Linked DNA regions of Drosophila melanogaster. The protein of the gene in region 3 interacts with the protein of the main gene of each other region in a pairwise test. Each region holds a gene or a part of one and is shown on either strand. Other genes may lie near its edges. The genes, in order: CG15914, beag and CG8079.

What was found.
Region 1: the proteins of CG8079 (region 3) and CG15914 interact in a two-hybrid assay, tested with the Drosophila melanogaster proteins (one large-scale study listed by BioGRID).
Region 2: the proteins of CG8079 (region 3) and beag interact in a two-hybrid assay, tested with the Drosophila melanogaster proteins (one large-scale study listed by BioGRID).

The regions. Positions count from the first base shown.
Region 1 is NC_004354.4:15,849,131-15,856,656, reverse strand, and holds CG15914 (uncharacterized protein), read right to left. Parts: upstream 3,237-7,526; 5' UTR 3,212-3,236; coding exon 3,127-3,211; intron 3,052-3,126; coding exon 2,769-3,051; intron 2,716-2,768; coding exon 1,950-2,715; 3' UTR 1,687-1,949; downstream 1-1,686. Other genes in the region: Myb oncogene-like, read left to right, coding at 1-867, 932-1,590; UBL3 (ubiquitin like 3), read left to right, coding at 4,368-5,072, 5,461-5,569, 5,947-6,111, 6,229-6,293; sun (stunted), read left to right, coding at 7,493-7,521. UniProt on the Drosophila melanogaster protein: Glycosyltransferase that specifically catalyzes mannosylation of cytoplasmic tRNA(Asp) modified with queuosine at position 34 (queuosine(34)). Mannosylates the cyclopentene moiety of queuosine(34) in tRNA(Asp) to form mannosyl-queuosine(34).
Region 2 is NT_033777.3:9,063,422-9,070,947, reverse strand, and holds the start of beag (beag), read left to right. Parts: upstream 1-5,869; 5' UTR 5,870-5,958; coding exon 5,959-7,526. Other genes in the region: pum (pumilio), read left to right, coding at 1-3; Ada (adenosine deaminase), read right to left, coding at 4,696-5,709.
Region 3 is NT_033778.4:15,214,897-15,222,422, forward strand, and holds the start of CG8079 (uncharacterized protein), read left to right. Parts: upstream 1-3,484; 5' UTR 3,485-3,567; coding exon 3,568-3,759; intron 3,760-3,816; coding exon 3,817-3,940; exon of another isoform or gene 3,941-4,003; coding exon of another isoform or gene 4,004-5,368; exon of another isoform or gene 5,369-5,433; intron 5,434-6,532; coding exon 6,533-6,669; intron 6,670-6,831; coding exon 6,832-6,927; intron 6,928-7,002; coding exon of another isoform or gene 7,003-7,147; coding exon 7,148-7,526. Other genes in the region: CG8093 (uncharacterized protein), read right to left, coding at 1-539, 612-704; CG11808 (uncharacterized protein), read left to right, coding at 1,404-1,982, 2,046-2,126; mRpL41 (mitochondrial ribosomal protein L41), read right to left, coding at 2,168-2,668; Hex-C (hexokinase C), read right to left, coding at 4,004-5,368.

The DNA.
Region 1 (7,526 bases), on a different chromosome or scaffold from region 3:
TGGTGCGCAACTTCGGGCCCAAGAAATGGACACTAATTGCACGATATCTGAACGGACGAATTGGGAAACAGTGCCGCGAGAGATGGCACAACCACCTCAATCCGAATATCAAGAAAACGGCCTGGACCGAAAAGGAGGACGAGATTATCTACCAGGCTCACTTGGAGCTGGGCAACCAGTGGGCAAAGATTGCCAAACGTCTGCCCGGACGCACCGATAACGCCATTAAAAACCATTGGAATTCAACAATGCGTCGCAAATATGACGTCGAACGCAGATCGGTTAATGCATCTGGTAGCGATTTGAAGAGTTCGCGAACCCATCTCATCACGCTGATCAAGTCCGGTGGCATCAGCAAGTGTATGAATAATATGCAACATAACAAGGAATCTGGTGGTGAGGCAGTTAATAAATCCGAAAACGCCGATGGCGCTTCGGTTACTGCCGTGAAAGGTGGTGATCTGGCACAGGAATCACAAGACGATCATCAAAAGGGATCCAATCTGGCACACCTCAGTATGCAGCATCTCATTAAGTTGACCATGCCGCGCCAAACACCGATCATATTGAAGCGTACACGCAAACACATTCCCGAAACTCACCATCAGGCAGGATGTTCATCAAGTGAGACATTCAACCAGGAAGAAGCCGCCGGAAACGCCAGGTCGCGACCACCGAGTTCGCCCGTCATATCGCCCATTAAGTCGCTACCCTTTTCACCGAGTCACTTCCTCAAGTCGCCTTGCCTGACCACCTTTGAAGATATGGATCTGCGGGCTAGCACGCCGGTAACCAAGGTCTATAATCGCGTTGGAATGGAGATCAAAAAGGAAATGGAGACATCGTCGATAGAAACTCCACACAAGAGTAAGTACAAGCCACTGTTGGCTTCAAATGCATCTTGAATACACACAATCATCGTTATTTGTAGGTCAACTTGGACCACGAACACCAACGCCCTTCAAAAAGGCACTTGCTGCCATCGGCAAGAAGAGGGACGGTCGTCGATACGAGCCCTCCAGCCCATCCAGTCTGGTGGAGGATCTGGCCGAAATCATCCATGAAGAGCATCTGAGCAACTCGCTGACCGCAAACAATTCCAAAATGATGGGCGCCGCCGATCAGAACTCAACGCTAAGCACCGAATACAATGCTCAGTCGCCGCCGCATATGAAACGTGCCAGGAAGTCATTGCTCTCAACTTGGAGCTCCAATCATCCATACAACGCTGGCTCCGCCAAGAGGATTCAACCCTTCGAAACCGAGACGCCCAGCAAGTTTCTCACATCGCCGGGCGATATTTTGAAGGACACGCTGTGCAGCGAACAGGACCTGCCGTTCGACGAGGGCAGAAAGGAGAATCGACCATTCCATAATCGCAGAATTAACAAGTACCGCGGTGGCTTGACCTACGATCATGTCATTGATCCCAAGTGGGCACGCGTCGCTTGTGGCAAGTCCAGAGATCAAATGTTTATGGAGGAGCAGGCTTATGCGTGCCTCAAAAATCTGTCCTGTATTTCGCGCTCCCTGAACTTCGAGAAACAAAAGTGTTTGGTGAATTCGTTCGACCGCTTTGGTTCGCTCTAAATTCTATGTGGCTATATTCAGGTATTACAAACAAAATTCTATACGCATCATCTTTATAATATTGTAGATATGAATCCCCAAATTTTCATCCAAATTGTGTTTTCGAAATAGAATTTATTGTGCTACATTTATGGCATTATTGGTTACATCCACCTTAAATTGTATCCCATTTTTTTCGGATATTTCATAAATAAATAAATGCTTAAAGTGAATGAAGCGTGTTTTAACACAAAGGACTTACATATATATATCGTTTTTTTTTGGCTTTGTAGGTTACAGAAGAGAGATATATTTATTCAAAAATATATCTATTATATTACAGAGAATATTTTGATAGACATTTGCCAAACCTTCGATTTCTAACTTTGTTCGTCTGCAATATGTTTATTGAATATGTCCAGATATTTTGGCACTAGTTCTTTCGCCGAAAAACGATCGAAATTAAAGTTCTCAAAGAATTGATCGCGCTGCTTGCGAAAGACCCTCGGCATTCTACAAAAGTTGTAGAGCTTCTTCGTCAGCGCATTGGAGGTGTTGTAGAGGTTTTCCTTTGGGTAGATTTCCGGGTAGACCAATTTGTTGGGCGCAATGGGATAACAGCCGCAGAAAGCGGCCTCCAGCATTGCTACTCCAAAAAACTCATGGTCGGCAGTTGATATCACAATGTCCCCAGTCAGCAGGGTCTTCAAGTACTCTTCACGCTCCAGATGGCCAAAGTTCACCAGCTTGCTGCCCAGTTTCTCCTGTATATGCTCGAATTCCTCCGGTATCTCCTGGTAACTCTCGCCACAAATAGTCACCTTGAAGTCCACTTGTCGCTCATGGAGCTGACAGAGCGTATCCACCAGTAGTTTGGGATTCTTATCGTGCTCCCAGCGATGTGGCCAAATAAGATGGATGCACTTCTCATCCAGATCCTCAGCAGTCTCCCCCTTTACGCACTCCTTCCGAATGGGAAACCGTTCGAAATTGACGGGAAAGTACAGCACTTGGCATTTCTTCTCGATTTGCTCGCGAATATGCTTGATTTTAAAGTCTGGCTGCATATTCAGAAAGGGCTGAACATTATCCAAAAACGAGTTGCAGTTGAATTGGGAATTGAAGAGCACCATGTCTGCGGCAAGACTGAAAATGGATGGGTTATGGATGCAAGTTGGGTATACAGGATGGTCACCTACCAGGAGAGTATCTCATTGAAACCGTATTGACAATCGCGCTGCTTCACCTCGCGCACCGGATAGATCAGCTGGTTCTCGTGGAAGTAGACGATCTTCCGGCAAGCGGCCAGATCCGGACGCAGACCAATCAGCTCGGCCAGGCTGAGCACGGAGCTGGCGAAAAGCACCCGGAATGCGTGATCGCGCGGAATCAGCTGGGCGAAGTGGAGGGCAGAGGTGCGTGCTCGCCAGTGCCATTTCTTGGCGGGAAGGCTGAATATCTCGCTGTCGCCATGGTTGAGACCTACAAATTGGATGATAAGTTGGAGTGAAGTTTGTATGTCTAGTTGTAATATTCTAAGTATGTATATATGTGTACCCTCGATCAGTGCGCCGATCAGCTGTTTGTGACTGCCCCCGTAAAACGGTTCAATAATCAAAATATGCGGCTTTGCGCACGACATGATAGACGGTCTTGGTGTGTGACCAGAGTGAGTGACAATTACCAAATATATTAATTATTTTAAATGTTGTTTATTTTTGAATTGATCACTACACAATTTATAAAACATTTATTTAACATAATTAGGCTAATTAAATTACCCCAATTGGTTTAAAATAAACAATGAAGGGTGTTGTTTTTATCAGCTGTTTGAATGCACAACCTGTGCAATGCGAAAATATACCGACCAGTGGAGAACGCCTCGAATTGGCTGTTCACGTCACTCGCACGCTGGTCACACCGATTTTGTAAATGCAAAAATTGAGTATGTATAAGTATTTACCATCGTGTCGTTATAGGAAAATTAAAAATTGTGTCATCTCGGACCAAGATAAATGTTGAAAAGCAAACCAAAGTGAATCATAGGTATATTGTAGATAAAATCTTTTCTGACTGCTGATTATGCCAACAATCGAAGCTGAAAACTTAGCGCACGGGAAAAAAAAATCAAACGCGAAAGTGCTTTTTTTTTATCCAATACCAACTACACAAGCACATACATACGTACATATGCATATATGCATATGCGTATGTGTGTGTACAAAGGCATTGATATAAAATTGAGAAAAATTCAATAAGTTTACCATAGCAGACCAATAGCATTGATGTAATATCCGTACTGTCGAGTGTACGCATTCATAATCCTTGCTGTTTTTACCTTATTTTAGTGTCTACAATTTGGGCATAAACACATTCGCATATATATATATATATATATATATATATGCATGTGCACACTGATTAGTGCGCAGATATATGAAGAAAACATTGAGAAAAAAAGAAGCAAAACAATCGGATTCATTGGAAAAGCCATTTGAACGCAATCCAATTAAAATTCAAGTGTATTTCAACCGAGCTATGTAGTCGTATTCTATTATGTACGATTGTAGTGCAGCCAGCGAATAATCGAATCGAGTTACATCAAATCCTGGTGGGTATCGCCAACGAAAAATGCTCAATGTTCCATGGAAATAGCAAAATGGCATTGGCAATTGATTGTGCTGATTACATGCGACCTGGAAACTTGCCCATTTCGAATTCGGATGGGCAGTTAAGTCAGTGAATTACTGAATCACTTGAAGACACAAAATACAAATACGAACTGCAACCCTCTCGCCATGTCGGTAACATCTTCGATTGAGAAGCCAACAACCACAGCAAGTGCAATTCAGCAACAGTATCAGCATCAGCAGCAGCAACAGCAACAGAAGCCACAACAGCAGCAACAGCAGGATAAAAGCAGCACCATCGCAATCGCAGCAGCAGCAGGACAGCAACAAAAGCGCAAATCCCTGAGTTCCAAGCGCTCGTATTCGCTATCCTCGTCGAGCGCCTCCAGTTCTGGTTCCTTTGGGGCGATAAGGTCTGCGACATCGCCACTGGTCACCACCGCCGAGAGGGAGAAAGATAAGGAGAAGAGCTCCTCCTCGGCCAGCAATAGCCACCATCAACATCATCAGCTTCATCAACACCAACATCATCATCAGCAGCAGCAGTCGCAGCAGCAGCAGCAATCCTTTTTGCCGTACTCATATTGCACCGATACCATAGCAGCAGTACATCATCAACGACAGTCGTACGCGCTGGTCCAGAAGCCCCCATCGTTGCGCTACCAGGGAAAGCCCCATCATCAGCTGAGCAACTTCTCGCCCACGATGACCTCCTCGGAACCCTCATCCCCATTGGCCGCCGATGGTTGCGGATCCGGAATCCTTAGCCCATCGGAGGTCGCCACCCATTGTTGCGCCAATGTCAAGGCCAATATCACCACCCCATTGGCCACCACCACACAGAAAATGCACCGAACAATACCATCTGATAAAGTAAGTGTTATTTTAGGCATTTATTGAGCACACTGGGTGGCTGGCTATTGAATAGTTGCCGTCAGTTACTTCGACAATTTGTAGCATAAATACCTGAGCAAAAATGCATATATGTAAAACGTAACATGAGATAGAAGCAACCTTCGATTCCTTTTACGCAACTCTTAGCTGAGTGCATATTGCACTTTGAATCATTTATTTACAAAGATGTTTTTTTTTTATATATATATAAATCAGCTATCAGATTTATATCAATTTAGTTGAGTAGCTTTAAATCTTTTTGGCAGGACTTACATTTAATTTCATTGAGCTCTCATAAAAAAACGATATACTATAAACTATATCATATAAAAGAATTTAATTGCAATAATATCCGTTTGCTTTTCAGATTAACCTACGCCTCATTCTTGTTAGTGGTAAAACAAAAGAGTTTATTTTTAGCCCTTCAGATTCCGCAGGTGATATTGCACAAACAGTATTTGATAATTGGCCAGAAGGTGAGTGAATTTAGTGTTAAGTTTGTCGGCGAATGATTTTTAATCACTAACGATTAAGTATGTAAGCTACGTAATACAAATAGAGTGAAATATACATATTTCTTCTAAATGGCATGCTATTGACCCTTTCGCGTGAACTGCATTTATTTTGAGAACGCTTTAATCATAGTCACAAGGATACAAGGATACAACCCACGAAATATTTAATATTTATGGCATCTATTGGATATTTCAAATAAATGCGACTTTTGAAGTTTGTTTAAATATTGTCAGCTTGTTGGCCTCTAAAATCAATTCTTTCTTAGTTGTTTTGCTTTTAGAGTTAGACTTTTGATGCGAAAACCCATGTAATACATTATTGTGCATATATCTTGCAGATTGGACCCACGAAACTGTGTCGAAAGCCGAAATCTTGCGCTTAATTTATCAAGGTCGTTTTCTTCATTGCAATGTAACCTTAGGAGCACTGGGACTTCCATTAGGCAAAACGACTGTTATGCATTTAGTGCCACGTGATAATTTGCCAGAGCCCAATTCACAAGGTAGGTTTTCAAAAAAAAAAAAAAAAAAGAAATATGGTTTCAATTATAAAGAGCTGCTCAAATTTAAATTCGCAATGCATACGAAAAACATCTTACTGAATTTTCCTCCTCTTTTAGATCAAAGACAAAATAGTAAAGGCGGTTCTGGACGATGCTGTTCGACAAATTGCTCTATTTTGTAACTAAATTATTATATAATAGCGTAATATTTAAACTAATTTGCATTAAAAGAAAAAAGAAAAAAAAAAAAACACCCACAACCGAAATAAAAACAAATATGAATGTATAAATTACATTTTTGTGCAGTCAGAAGTATATTTATTAAACTATAATAATGTATGTCTGGATCAACAAGGCGCTTTGTTTCAACTATTAATGTACATACAATATATATTTTATATATATACCACACAGGAATTCATGAGCATGTGCAAAATGCGTATACTCTGTATTAAAGTTGCTAGACTGCATATTTATAACATGTAATATACGAATACAATGCTAATTGCTTTTAGAAACCGGACTTGTTAACCTAATTAGAGAATGGGTAATTACAACACTTATTTCAAATATGTCGAAAATATTGAAAACTAATTATGTGCAAGAATAAGTAATTTTCCCATTGCGTTCTGCTTTTAAGTGTGCGTCTACCGAAAAACTAAATAAAATCAGCAATTACTTGTCAGATCGATTCTTTAATGCGTTAAAGAATATTAAAGAAATTTTTGTTCTGTATATATACACATTTAATTAGAACTTAAGTGTTTTCTTCTGTTAAGTTTTAAAATATTATCTGTAAAGTCTAACTTAAAGTCAATGATAAATAAATAATCTAATATATCCTTAGCTTATCCTATTTTGGGTGCATTGGTGGTTATTTGATTAATTAGCCTAGAACTAAAAACAAATTTCAAGGAAAATTGGGGAATATTTTTTTTAAGTTGATGGTTTAATGTAACAATTTTTCTTGAAATGCTTTATGCAAGGCACGTTAAACAATGTCTGCTTAATTATTTGTGTAGGCATGAATAAGTAACAAGCTTCGTTCTTTCGAATAAAACAGTTTGGCATATCCATATTTATTAGGGTTTTTCCCAAAGGAAGAAAAATAAGTAAATTAGATTTTTAAATATTGAAAAGTTTGAGTTTGGATATCGATAACAAATGTTACTAACAGTGTGTATGTTCAATAACAGAAGTCACAGTCGTCGTCGCTATCTTGACGCGCGTAAGCTAGTATTTAAGGTATATGTGCGACAATCGACGGTATATTTCTGACTTAACTCTCAAAAACTAGTTGGCCACACTGACCGGATTCAGAAAGGGAATATCTTATATATTTTTTGTGTAGCGTGAATATATTTCGAATAAACCGATCACAATGACTGCCTGGAGAGCTGCCGGAATTACGTAAG
Region 2 (7,526 bases), on a different chromosome or scaffold from region 3:
TAAAGGAAATAACAAATTAAGCCAGGCAGTCAAAGGAAACTTCCTTCTCGAATCGCAGTATAGTTTTTAGAAGCTGTAGAGCTTAACATAAACAACAAGTACATATAAATGTAATCTTATTTATTGGAAAAGCAGCGATAAATGGAGCTGCACTCGAAGATTTGCAAAGAGGATAGTAAAACACACATGCGCCAATCTAGAGAAACAAATAGCAAACAAAGAAGCACACTGGCAAGCAAAAAAGCAAAAGAGCTTAACAGCTAAAACTAAAAGAAATTTGTATTTTTACGAACAAAACTAATAACGTTCTCATGAAAAAAGATTTCAAAATATTTGTAAAATGCGCTCGCATAATTAATTTGTAAAAAAAAGGCATGAACCGCAAAGATGAAAGAAAACAAAAATGCGTAGTAAATCGCGATCAAGAAAAAATAATGAATGTAATGTAAAATGTCAATGAAACAGATTTGTCTGCGTACATTTTCGTTGTAACTTTGTATAAATTAATTATTATATAGCAAGTCTATCTGTAAATGATTAATGTTTCGACTGTAAATTAATAAGAAGACAACTGAAGAGCCGGCGAGCTGAAAAAAAAGAAAGTAAAAAGAGCGGGCTGCATGAATTAGCCTACGATTTATAAGTTCAGACAGAGGAACCATTTCTAATATACAAACATATATACGAGGGATAACAGCAGAAGCCGCACTTAGTGTAGAATGTAGAGTAATAATGTTTTTGGAGCCAGCAGCTACAAAGACACAATGAAAACAGAGACACACGAGACACGCCCACGCCCCCTCACGCACACTCGGTTGCATACACCCACACAATGAACGACTCTTCAGCCCATTCACGTTGCTTTTGCACTATGTAAAAATTTTGTATAAAAAAAAACCCCAAACAACAAACCATGTAAACCATGTAATTTTCAAATGTTTCACTGTAAAATGTATACATACTTTATTTTGTAAATTTTTTTTAAGTCGCAAGTAACTCATACATATTCTATTCTAAACCTCACGCATGTATTTATAATTTTATACACATTAGCTGGTGACCACCGATCGACGATCTGCATGGATATTGGTCAGCTGGTGGCCAGCTAAAAGAACCTGTTAGCCAAGTAAGCCAAAAATGATAATAATTGGATTTTAAAACAATAACCATCAAAATAAACCAATTTTTTTCAAAATTTTCCGAGACCCTTTTATGTTTGCTAGCCCACCTTAATGTATGATATATGTATATGTATATTTAAATCGACACTATGCTTTCGCAACTGCACACTGAACGAAATCAGGTGGAGAGTTAACTTTGTTATGTTAGACAGAAAGCGCTTGTTGCTCCCTGCGAAGCTTGAAATGCATTCGCTGTGCGGCATACTAAATAATTAACCAACCCTTCCTTCACGTAAGTGTATAAAATTGTTTTAAAACGTCATCGAAACACTTGTAAATTGCAAACAAAAACTGTATATGTATACATACGAACGAATATTGTAAAAAGTAACAATACCAAGAATTTTGTACATTTTTGATATAAATTTAGATTACTTCGCGACGCCTTATTCCAAATACTAAAATACTGAAAATAATGAAAACGAGAGATGGTAAGAAAATCGAATTTAGACTTTTTTGTCGGTTTCGTCGAAACACACAAAAATCCAATGTAAAACAATTTTTGGAGATCAATGTAAAGTGTATTATGCATATTTTTGTACACACAAATTCGTTGTCGTGTCGTTGTTGTTGTCGTCGTCACCGTCGTCGTTGTCGTTGTCGTATTTTGTATATAACAAGCAAAGGATACCAGTCATTGAACATTTGTAATTTTCTGTACATTTCCCCCCAACACACCCATCCCATTAACCATTAATCATTCACTATTTACCATTACCCCTAATCCATCCCATTGAACATGACCACATTGCAACATCCGTATTATCCTGTCTCTGAACAAGTGAGCGCATTTCAAGCGACAGCGCAAGCAGGGCTCGGTATTATTTGTTTGGTACTTTTAGTTATTAACTTGTCAACTGCCTGTCTCTAGAGCGCAATGCACTGATAATTTTAATTTAAATAATCCATAGATGAACATTGTATTTAGGATTCTCGAGTTCGATACGGAGTGAACAATGCAAGTAGAGATGCTTTCTGTAGGCTAAACACATTGCTACACGCCGTGTACATTTGACGTGTAAAATACACCGAACACCCACACTCACACCGACACGAACACCAACACATCTACACACCCACACAGACACAAAGGACACAGCGAGCTGCTTAGCTGTAGTAGTTAGTGTAAGCCAGCGAATCCCTATAAATATTTAAACATATATACACGCATATAGAATTATGTACTACACTTAGTTTTGAACTTGACGTGAGGCAAACGTTTTTTAAAAAAGAAAAATAATGTATATGTAAAATACATGTGTAGAGTAGCGGAAGTGCCGTGGCACAGTGAAATTTACACGTATGCTGGCGTATTCTACACACGCCCAGTTTTTACAGTAACAATTTTTTGCACGCATGTAAGACACTTGGGTATACAAGTCGAAATCTAAAAATCTAAAGCGAATTCCACTTAAAAAGGATCAATATTTAACAACCACAAATGTAAACAATAAAACTTAAAATGTACGAAAAACTCCCTGTAAACTTGTAATCGTATAAAGAAGCGAATTAAGCAAGCATTTCTTTGTATGCCAAAGGCAAAAACAAGTGGGTCATTTTGAATTTGCGAAATCAGAAAACCCTTCGGCTATTGGTTTGAAATTTTCGCAAACTAAAGTGTAAAAACAAAATAAAGCCCAATACGATAAAGCCCTATAGATAACCAAGATTTCAAGTAAATATAAAGCATACCGCAGAAGCAAAAATTTGTAAAATTTTTTCGACAGCAGAACCTTGTAAACTAAGCTAAGGACATAAATAAACCTTTTGTAATTTGTTGTAAAAAGAAAGGAAAGAATGAAAGAAGGAAGGATGGCGGAAATTAAAAGGCATGACATGTGCTAGAGCTGGCGTCAAGTAAAACTATAAATTATATATAAATATAAATATATATTAAAGCATATACATACATATAAATATAAATAAACAGTAATTAATTAATTACGATAATATTTTGTAGTTACACACTCGAACACACGGAGAAATTCAAATATACAAACACAGAGCGAGACCTTTAGTTTTGTAAACCGCGAGCGATTGGCACAAGTTAAATAACTACAATTTGGACAGCATTGCATTCGAGCATTTGATTTAACAATGCATTAGATTTTTATGTTTATTATTATTATACAAAATACGATTAATGCTAATTTCTTTGTGAAAAAAATAAAACAAGTTTATTATGTAGCAAAAAGAAAACGTTTTATTTCTCAATTCGAACCGATTTAATTGTCTCTTCCTCACACCAAAATGCACACATCCACACATAGTTTCAACTGATTGGCTTCAATGGAAGGCTGCGATGACTACAAAACTGAAATCAAAATTGATATTAATACGGCATGCAATTAACGAGAATAGCATTACATTGAAAATAAATATAGATAAATAATATACACGTACCATAACCTCTATAGCCCTTCCAAATCTGCAGAAAATGGCACAACAACCAAAAATGAAAGCGCAAGTTCGAGGCATTTTATACGGCGCATTTTTTATATATGAGCAGGCTAGCTGTCTATATGATATTACCCAAAAATGGTCGACTTTTATAAATGAGCCAGTAAGTAAACAAGACATATTTTTTTATAAGCCTTGGCAAGCTAAACTTTTACCAGGCCGTACATTTTAAAAAAAATTATACATACTTAAAAGCAAGAATACTAAAACCCTATGCCCGAACTCCTAAATAAAGTCGAATACAACAGCAAAATCCATACCATACCATTTTCAACTAGTAGAATTTTTCCAAAGTGTAGAAATGTAAACCTTTATATAAATATATAGATTTGTAATTGAACTCTCTAGTTGAGGTAAAAACACTTCTATACAATATAAATAAACTCCCAAGTCGGTCGTTTCTTGAAGCTCGACATTTGGAATGAACTGGATAAAGTAGTAAAACTCATGTAGAAACACAGCAGTAAGCTAAAACCAAACTAAAAGTATAAAATATAGATAAACTGTATATAGGGAATACCAGGCAGGCAAACCACTTCAACTGAAAGCTAATCTGCAGGCTTGGGTAGGTGGAGGGTCCGACTATAAAGATGTCTTCACCCAAAAAGTTTGTTTCAAAATGTGCTATTAAACTACAGATTTCGATCATTTAAGTCTTACTTTGGTTTCCTTAGATTTCGATCGTCCACTTCACTTGGTGCAGTTTAAGAGCCCACTATTGACCAAAGCTTGTACTCCATTGTATTTTGAATGCCTACCCCCAAACTAAGCCACACAGAACGGCAGAAACGAGAACATAAAGTAATGAACAGAAAACTTGAATTCAATTATGAATGATATTAAATGAGAAAAACATAAAAACTTATTAGCCACATATGTACGTACGAAGGATGAACATAACTAATGAACAAACTTGTAACTAAATACTTCTACATATTGAATAAAAAGAATGATATTAAAAGGTAAAATTTTTGACAAATAAGAATCAGGTTGGTACATATATGGTGTTACATACAAAAACTTATTTATTTCAATTAGGGCAGTGACAGTTTTTTTATTTGACCAATATGTCTGCGTAGTTCCCCACCCTATCCGCCATCTGTATTTGCTCCTGTTCGCTGGCGAATGAATGATGCACTGCCTCCAAGGTCAAATCGATGCATTGTTCACGGGTTAGACCGAAAGTTTCCGCAGCAATCAGAAACTCCTTTGTCAAAGTGGTATCAAAAACGCCACTGTCGTCCGTGCAGATAACCTTGGGTGCATCTGCCTCCATGATTCTTTTCAAGTGGTGCTCCTCCAAGCTGGGCACTGTTCCCGACTTAACATTACTAGTGAGGCAGCATTCAATGGCAATATTTCGTTGTTTAAGCTGCCCAATGTCCTCGGGAGTAAGAAAAGTTCCATGTCCACAGCGGGACATTCCAAAGTGCAGCATTTCCTTTACCTCCGATGGATTCTCGATCTCGGCGCAGTGTATAGCTAACTTCAGACCCTTATCCCGGGCCTGTGCAAGAATAGGAGCAAAGTCGGAAAACCGCCCCTTCCCTGGATTACCGCTAAGATCGATGCCTAAGATAAGATTTGGATGAGCCCGTGCCAACTCCACAGCCAGGGAAACTGTTTCCTCAGCCACGTCCACTGGTTCCGCTCGATTGATGGAGGGCAGTAGCTTGACTGTTATCTCTGGATACGTTTCGCTAGCTGCCTTAATTGCATCGATCACGATCTGCAGGTAGTCCCTGCGTGAATAGTTCTCGTTTGCCTTAGGAGTGGTCCTCATTTCCACATACTGGACGTTGTCCTCAGCGAAATCTCGAATCGCCAACTCCGTGGCAAATCGCAGACCCTCCCGGGTGGAGGTCAACTCGTGCACAAATGCAAACTTCTCGAAGCATGCATCCATATCCTTTTCAAATCGGCTGAAGTGCGCGCACAACTTCAGGAAATCTTTACAAGAGGTTCCATACAATCGCTCGCCAAGATCACATAGGCTTTTGATGCCCAAGGAACCGTTGAGGTGAGCATGGAGCTCTACTTTGGGCAGACCTTTAAGAAACTGCTCCATTTGTAGTTTAACAATAATAACAATACATTATGAGAAACAGTGATGCTAAATGTGGAATCGATTTTCAAATATTCGTAATTATTCGGAAAAAACGCTAAAAACGCTAATCTTCCATCACTGTAAACATGTTATCGATTACAGTACGGAGAAAAATCAAAAACACAGCCAACCCTGGCAGGCAAAACCAAGAAGAAGCACAATTTGTAAATATAGATTTTCTCTGCGAGTTTTCTTCGAATTTTCTTCGCCATGTCGGATGCCCACTTGGAAGCACCGCCTTCGGTGCGACTAACCAACGATGACTTCCGCAAGCTGCTAGCGACGCCCCGAGCTCCTCCTCCTGGCTCCGGGACGAGCAGCACCTCCGCTGGAGGATCTCTGGCCACTGCTACCTTTGCCACGCCCTCCACCGCCCCCGGCACGACAGGATTGAGTGGCGAAAAGAAGAAGGGTCAGAGCAGCAGCGAGCGGAATGATCTGCGTCGCAAGAAAAAGAACTTCTATGCGGCGCTCAAGAAGCAGGAGGATGTGAAGCTGCAAGAGCTGTCCGAGAAGTACAGGGACCGAGCACGAGAACGACGCGATGGTGCCAATCCAGATTACGTGAACGTGAGCACGCCGGGACACGGAAGCAGCACCAATGCGTATCGAGCTGTAGCGCCAGATATGAAATCCGGAATCGATGCCCAGGAGCGAAGAAGACGTATCATTCAGGAGTCCAAGTTCTTGGGTGGAGACATCCAGCATACGCATTTGGTGAAGGGTCTTGATTACGCCCTTCTGCAAAAAGTGCGCTCCGAGCTGCACTCGAAGGAAGCGGAAGAGGAGGAGATTGCCGCCGCTGTGGCAAGGGAAAAGCTCGCCGAAGCAGCTGCCGCCGCTGAGCAATTGGAAGCGGAACGCCGCGAGTCGGAGGATATTAATGCAATCAATGGTGCACTAGCGCGCAATATTTACAATCTAGTGCAGGCAAGGCGTTCGAAAGAAGTTCCCCGCAATGAGCTATTTGCTCCAGGACGGATGGCCTATGTGATCGACCTGGATGACGAGCTAGGGGAGTCGGATATTCCAACCACACTGAAGCGCTCCAAGTTCGAGGTGCCGGTGTCACAAGAGGATGTTGCCACGCTGACCACCAATGACATTGTGATCAACAAGCTGTCCCAAATCCTGAGCTATCTACGTGCCGGTGGTCGCAACAAGAAGAACAAAAAGCGCGACAAGGACAAACCGCTGTTCTACGAAAAGGAGGTGGAAAATCTTCGTGGGTCGTCTAGCAATGGTGGCTCCAGTCGGCACGCCACCTCGTCCTCATCGAACATGGGAGGGAAATCAGCTCCCTTGGGCGATAATATCTACGACGATATAGGGGACTACCAACCTTCTGCCACGCGACCTGAGCGAAACCGCCAGGAGCAAGGCAAGTCCGCCCCGTCCTACTTTGGAGACGGCCCGCCGGAGGCATCAGAGGAGCCGATAATATCCAGTATTCCCCCGCCACCCAAGATATCGAAGGCCATGGCCGCACGGTTCGCTGAACCCGAGGGATACGCAGAATGCTATCCCGGGCTGGAGGAGATGAACGACGCCATCGACGACTCGGACGATGAGGTGGATTACACCAAGATGGATTTGGGCAATAAAAAGGGGCCCATTGGACGCTGGGACTTTGACACGCAGGAGGAGTACTCCGACTACATGAGCACGAAGGAGGCGCTGCCCAAGGCAGCCTTCCAGTACGGGGTCAAGATGCAGGACGGTCGCAAGACGCGCAAGAACAAGACGGAGAAGAACGAGAAGGCCGAGCTCGATAGGGA
Region 3 (7,526 bases):
CCACCGACCGTGGCCAAAGGACTCTCCATATGCTCCATCCAGGCCACAGGAGCGAGCAAATGAGCAGATCGAATGCGACTCTTGAAGCGCGGAATCATAGAGTTGAGCACAAAAAAGGATGTGGTTCCTTGAGAGTGACCCACATACGTAAGTTGAGTCACATTTGTCCAGTAAAGGACGTAATCCATCATAGCGGGCAGATCATAGATTCCGATATCGTGCCACTCAAAATTCCAGAAGGGCTGCAGCAGCGGCGACTTGCTGGCGTGTCTTTTGGAGTAGGTGTTGCCTCTGGCATTACCCATCCACACATCGTAGCCCGCTTCGGACAGCAGGTATGCCAGCCCACTGTGAGGTCCAGCAAGAACCCAATCCGAGGAGGAACACAACAGACCGTGCATAAGGAAGACAACAGGGCGTGGCCCATCGTACCCAGTGTTCTTCGAGTACGGTATGCGGTGCATTGTGAGGATGTAACCATCCGAGGTCTGCACCTCGTGCTCCTCGATTTCGTAACCGTGTCCCCTAACAATGGTGACCTGGAAAGTAGAGCAATATAGTGGTTAGTAAGGACTTTTGGGTGCCAAAGAACATGGCATCCTAAAACTTACAGTTGTCACCGAACTGGCGCGCCCCGTATCCGCAGGCAGGGCATTAGCCAAGCCCAGACTTAAAAAAACCGCAATTAGCTGAACCACCAACATTTTGTATTCCACAGGTGCAGGTGCTTTGACCGCTGACTTGGCCGCCCGTGCCTTTTATATGCCCCCCAGGAACTTGATAAGGATTCCTAGATTTGGCTGCCTAATTTATGACTGTTTATTTTTGCCTGCAAAATGGTTTGATTCGCCAAGACTGATAGATCGTGTGGGAATTTCGATCCCAGTTGATTTAACGAATGGCTAGTGGTCATCAGCGATAAGGTCTCCTATAATCTTGATAACTGCTGATTAGGTATAATTGCTAAGAGTTAATCAGCAATTAGTATTTCCTGCTTTGGGCGTACGGCAAACTGGACATTAAAAGACCCCACATCAGTCTGTAAACTGACATGCTAAGCCGGTAAGGACAAAACTCAATAAATGTAGTATATTAAATGAATATGTTAAAAAGAATTAATTGATTTAATATTACACATAGTTCTAAGTTAAATATTTTAAAGTGATTACTATAATTAAAATTCGCGCCTATTAGTTTAAATTAAAATCGGTCGATAAGTCCAAAAATCGATAGGCGGTAAACATGTTGACACAATCAGTGTGGCCAGCTGGAATATTCGTAAAAATGTTGCGTTTTCTTGACAGGCGATTTTGTATTTTGGGAATGAGCGACGTCCGGCACACAAGAAATATAACATAAATAAAAAACTAAATAAATAATTAACTGCCGATAAAGGACACATTATGAGGGATCGCGACCGCCGTGACAGAGATCGCGACAGAGAGAGGGATAGAGATCGGGACCGAGAAAGAGACAGAGAGCGAGACCGCGACAGACGACACAGATCAAAGTCGCCCAGCAGGAGCAGCCGGCAGGTTTCAAAACCGAAGAAGAAAAAGGCCAAGAAGTCGAAAAAGTACTCGAGAAGGAGTCGCAGTAGCAGTCGCAGCACCTCGCGCAGCTCCTCCAGCAGCAGGAGTAGTTCCCGCAGCACGCACAGCAAAAGCAGAACCAGGGATCATCACAAATCGCGGTCTATTTCGCAGAGGAAAACCAGGGGTCCAAGTTCGGAAAGCAATTCCCGATCCGCAACCACACCCGCAGCTGCTCCCGTGAAGGCCATCGATCTGTTCGACACCAAGGTGCAAAAGGCACTCGAGACTATAGACGAGGACACCTTCAAGCCGGAGTCATTTTTTAGCTCCAGGGATTCAAAGGAGACATCCGATAAGGTGATCATAGATCTGAACAATGAAACGGTCACAGTCGCCAGCAAGCCAGCCACTGCAGTCCGAAACGAAGATGTAATATTCCATCCGAACGTGAGTGGGTTACCTGGTGCTCGAATATACATGCTAATAGTATCTGATTTTCAATTCCGACAGTTCCTGGGCGACCCGGATATGAAGGCCGAGAAGTGGCTGCGCAAGCTGTACAATTACCGCCAAAAGTACATGCAGGAGTAGTCGAGTTTAGACTCTGTATTTAAGAAACAATAAACCTATGTCTAGAATATATCGCTGCCCGTCTTTCGAGCGCGTTGCAAGGCCTCCTCCGGAGTCAGTTGCTCATTGACCGAGGGCTCCTTGGCGCTGCCGTCCTTCTGCAGTTTTCCCGCCTTGAAATCTTCGATAATCTTCTGCGAGTAGACGGCGTTGAAGAGATCCAAGCTGGTGAACTCCGACTGGACGACGTCCGGCGCCTTATAGGACACGTATGGCTTTAGCTTACAACCGGTCAAATCGGGAACTATGATGTCCGGAATTTTCTCGGGAATCTCCACATACTGCCCGTCGACAAGTATGCCCGTGTCTCGTACACCTCGCTTGTGAATGGCTACCGGCGGATTGGCCAGTGTTTTCTGGGCTTCCTTTACCACGCGCGTACCGCGCTTGTTGTATGCGTTAAATTTACGGAAGTTCCGCTTGCCCTCCAGCACGGATGAAGTACTGATGGTCCTCTGCTGGCACCTTAGGGCAATGGGCACTACTTTAATACAATTATTCATTCTTATTTCGTTTTTCGGCGACCAAAATGGTTAAATAACAAATGTAGATGAGGGAACAGCTGTTTGGTTGGGTAGAGATGACACTTTTTTCGATAGACAATTAATCCCAGTTGGAAATGTATTGGAAGCCAATTTGCTATTAAACTACTTGTTTTTTTAAAAATACCGAAAAAGTTTTTTTTCTTTTAGGCCGTTGCCATATTTATTTTATCTTGATAAGAACTAAGTTGTTTTTTTTTTCAAAAACTAGGCATATTTTTTTTATGTGTAAAAGCAACCATCTCTTAATAAATCGATTAACTTTGCAGCCACCAGTGCTTAAAACGACTGTTAGTTGAAATGAAACTAGATGTTGGCGGATGTCGATGTTTTTGGCGAATAACATCGACGTTTTAAACATCGATGCTTTAAATAAAAATAATTGCTTTTTATTTTAATGTTGCTTAAATAAAACGTCAGTATTTGGTGTCCACCTTTTCATCCTCCGCTGGTCCAGTAATTGCTCCTATAAGACAAATGCACGTTTACATACATACATGTATATACATTTAGACGTGCATATGACATGCATTCATATGTGCAAGCCTTTTTCGGGTGTTAAAAACTTTCTTCTCAGATATTTTCCATGTCTATCACGACGCCACAATATGGTATTAATAATTGTATTAGAAGATATGGAAAATTAATTTGTACTTACAATTTATACGCTTTTCTCCTCAGATGCGATGTAGAGATGGAAAAACATCGATGATTCCTCGAAAACATCGATGAATGCGATTTTTTGAAAACATTGATGACATCCATGCTAGCATCGATGTTTCTCCATCTCTAGCTGAAACTCCCCAAATCGGCTTGTGATCCCTATAAAAAGTTGATTTAGATTCGACGGTTGTTAAACAATGTCGTTACCGGCTGAAGAGGAGGATTTGGCGGACACTGTCGCCAAGTACGATTCCATCGAATTGAAGAGCATACAGGACCTGGAAACCTGCGAGCAGCAACAACTACTGCAGTACGTCGAAAAGCTGCACGGGATTATCCGCAAATACGACACCAAACTGGCGTCCTATAAACAAAAACTCCTACACTACGTGAGTCCCAATTAAAGGTTGAGCTAAAATGGTCTTAATTTTTGATCTATTTTAAAGGTAAGCCGGGAAGAAAAGGTTTCGTGTGACAAAGCCAGCCAAGCAACTGAATCGGAATTACAAGAATGCCAGTATTCCATGGAAAACGATGAGGATACTAACAAAAAAGACCAGCCCAACGATTGTGAGTTAAAATTTGTTTTATTACACTGAGTCCTTCTATTATTGCTACAATAGTAGTGAGTTCCTACTTTGTTTTACTGGCCACCGCGGCCACCAGCGCAGCTCCACGTCCGGATCCGTCCTCCGAGAGCATGATGTCCCACTCCTTGTCTGCTTTCACCAGCTTTTGGAGTGTTTGCCTCATGTAGGCATCGAACTTTGGATGGTATCGGTAGACGGAGCCATCCATGCCGACTATCACGCGGCGGTTGGAAGTCCTGTTCACCAGCCCACTGACTCCGATGGCTACTAATGTAGCCGCTCGCTTAGCTACGCACTCGCAGATGTATCTCAGAGTCTGGCAGTCCTCCACGGAGGCCTTCTCTAGACCAAACAGATTTTTCACAATCTTCCTTGTGCTGGCAAACTCTGGGAAGGAGTCGTCCTCGATTTCCGAAATGTAGCGCGTCTCGAAAACCTCTTCGTTTCTCTGCAGCACGCTGGCGAATTCTGGACGTCGACTGCTCTGTTTAAAGATCAGCTTGCGCTCGAGGGCACGAAGTAGCACAAGGCGCACCAGGTTGCCCAAGTACATGCCCGCCGTCATCTTTTCGAACAGCTGCTCCGATCGGTTTAGAGACTTTTCGTCAACTTCGCGATCGTATTCGGTGCGCACAAAGTCCAACTGACCACCCTCACCAAAGGCGCCCCACTCAGCATTTACAATCACACTCCGCTTCGTTTTTTTAAAGTCTGCGCGCAATAGGTCCACATTCTCAACATCTTCAACGTAGCAGGCATTGCAGCCAGTTCCCACAATGACACCCACCCGGCAATCTGCATTACGATGGGCGCAGGACATCAAGGTGCCAGTGGTATCGTTGAGTATAGCCACCACGGCAATGTCGGCATCTCCGCGCCGCTGAATGGCCTCGTGCAGCATGCGGCCCACATCCTCGCCCTCAACCCCAGCACAATCGAATCCCTTAGTCCAGCGTACCAGGATGCCCTCCTTAAGGCCTAGTTGCACGCAAGGGAAGGAAAAAGTGAAGCCCAGTGGCAGATATGCGGTCTTCATGTCGTGTTTCTCCACAAATTTGGCCAGGCAGCCCGCAATGTGATCGAATAGGTCCACACCGGGCCCCACCATCAGGTCCTTTGGCACGGCATAGATCTGAGAATCCACCGTGGCGTCGTGGTGACCTTTCAGCGAGACGAGCAGTACTCGGAAGTTGGTACCGCCGAGATCCAGGGCCAGGTACTTGCCCATCTCGTCGCCCGTGGGCAGATCCTGCACGTACGTGGGAAAACACTTGACGTTGGCCTGTGGATGCGTGGACCGCTTAAGTCCACGGGCCACTTCCAGGCAAAAGCGACTGTACACTTCCTGCACCTGGTAATCACTCAACACAAAGGGTTGCATAAGTTCTCGCACCTCCGCGTCCAGCATTTTGCTTGGCTAATCTATCTGTCTTAGTTGTAACCGCCTCGAACGATGAGTAACGACTAACCAGGCGCCTGGCGAGCCCACGGCGATTTGGAGTTGCCCTGGGTGCCTGATAAGAGCCAGGCGTTGAGATGCAGTGCGCCTTGGAAACAACTGCTGCCGCTGCAATATGGGCGCTGCGTAGCAAATTAAAAACGAAAACACACCTAAGTAGCTGATTTGCGGATTCCGAATCTGAAACTACAACTGCGCGACATGCTAATCGCTCGTTGTCTCGTTTGCCGCTTGTCAATTGGTGGCAATAGCTTCAGATTCGGCACCCTACAAATTAATTGTAGATCGTCTTTAGCCGACTATTGGAAAGGAGGAAATATGTCACAATTAACTCTGCGAATAAATCCCGGATGGACACCGATCGCATGGCACAAGAATCCATTAAGAGATTACTATTAAAAAGTGTTTCAGTATCTACAAATAAGGTGTCCTCCGTTGTACTAAATTGTTGTATAACTTTTCGTAGAGTGCCATATTTCCGGAAAAAATGGCCAAGGCCGTATTTCACTTTTTTACTTTCTAAAAGCCATAAATTGTCACAGGGCGATATTAGCTGCAACACGCCTTCTTAGTTACGATGAGATAAGGCCGTTTCAAGGACCGCATCTTACAAGCGCAACCCACCCACTTGTCTATCTATTGAGGAGTATTGGCGGGGTCCTAGGTCGAGTACGTCAAACATTCCATGCCGGTAATGCCCGAGATAAGCACTGAAGTGTCGCATGGGCTAACGCCACTGCCCCTGACAAAAATCCGAGCAGCCCTTGACACTACTCTTAATAGAATTAATATGATTACGCAAAACTCAGGGGATTAGAAAAATAATTAGAATTCTTATACTAACACTTAAATAGCTACTTTATAGTTCGTCTAAATACATATAACTATAAACATTAATTTATGAATGTAAAGATAACTACAACCCATTTCCGACTATTTTTAAAGTTGAAATAAGGAAATGTTTTTCAAAACTGCTGATAACATTGCTCATTTTCGTGTCGTTCACCACAGGTTTCTGTTTTTATTTCTATATTGTCTTAAATATTTATAAAACCTTATCAATAACCATCAAAACATTACAAGTCATGTTTGGAAAATAATTTATATTTGCAGTATCGGCGACGGACGCCTTCAGTTTTGTGGACGAAATGAGGCAGGCAGCCAAGCACGCCGAAAACCTGAACAACTTCGTTTACGAGCACACCTCTGGCATGTACTACGATCCCAAGACGGGATACTACTATAACGCGGTAAATAAGCTATAAACAGCGGACGCAATCTTTATGACGTCCCGTTCTATTCCGCGATGCAGTGACTGCACCGCGATGACTTTCAGGGGTTATCGCGCTGGCAAACCTACATCAATGGCTCGGATTGTTGTTAATCTACACCTGCTTTTCTCTTCCTCGCAGGAGTACGGGCTGTACTACGATGGTAACAACGGCTGCTACTACAGCTATGATCACGCCAAAGACTCGTACGAGTTCCACTCTCAGGCCCAGGTACAGGTGAGTGGGTGTAGTTGCGGATTTCAATGCCATACGACCACATTAACCACTGTTCTTCTCCTCCTCGCTGCGCAGCCTTTGAGCGACTGCGCCTATAGTAGTCTTTTAGCGGGGTTTCACAAACTCCGCATAGACCGAATGCGTAGCAATGCATTAGGTAAGAGTCAAGGTCCAGAATGTGCGATAAAAACGCGGATTTCTTTTCTTAACTTGGTTGCAGGCGAACGATGCGGCCAAACCGGAATCGGAGGACGAGGATTTGGAGGTGCAGTTCGATGAGCTGGGAGGCGTCATTACGGACCACGAAACGCTGAAGAAGATTAAGGCCGAGAAGCAAAAGGCCAAAGATCAAGCTGAAAAATCCAAGCGCAAAGCCAAGAAAAAGAAGAGTAAAAAGCACAGCAAGAAGAGATCCAAGAAGGAGCGCCGTCACAAGTCCAAGAAGCGTCACAGGCATTCTGATGATGAGCGGTCTAATGATGCCGAGGAGGGCGAGCTGTCGCAAAGCAGCGACTCCAGTTCCGACTCTAGCAACGAGGATAGCAGCAGCAACACGGAAGACAGCAGTGTTCCAGTTTTCAAGGCTGCCGGACGCTTTC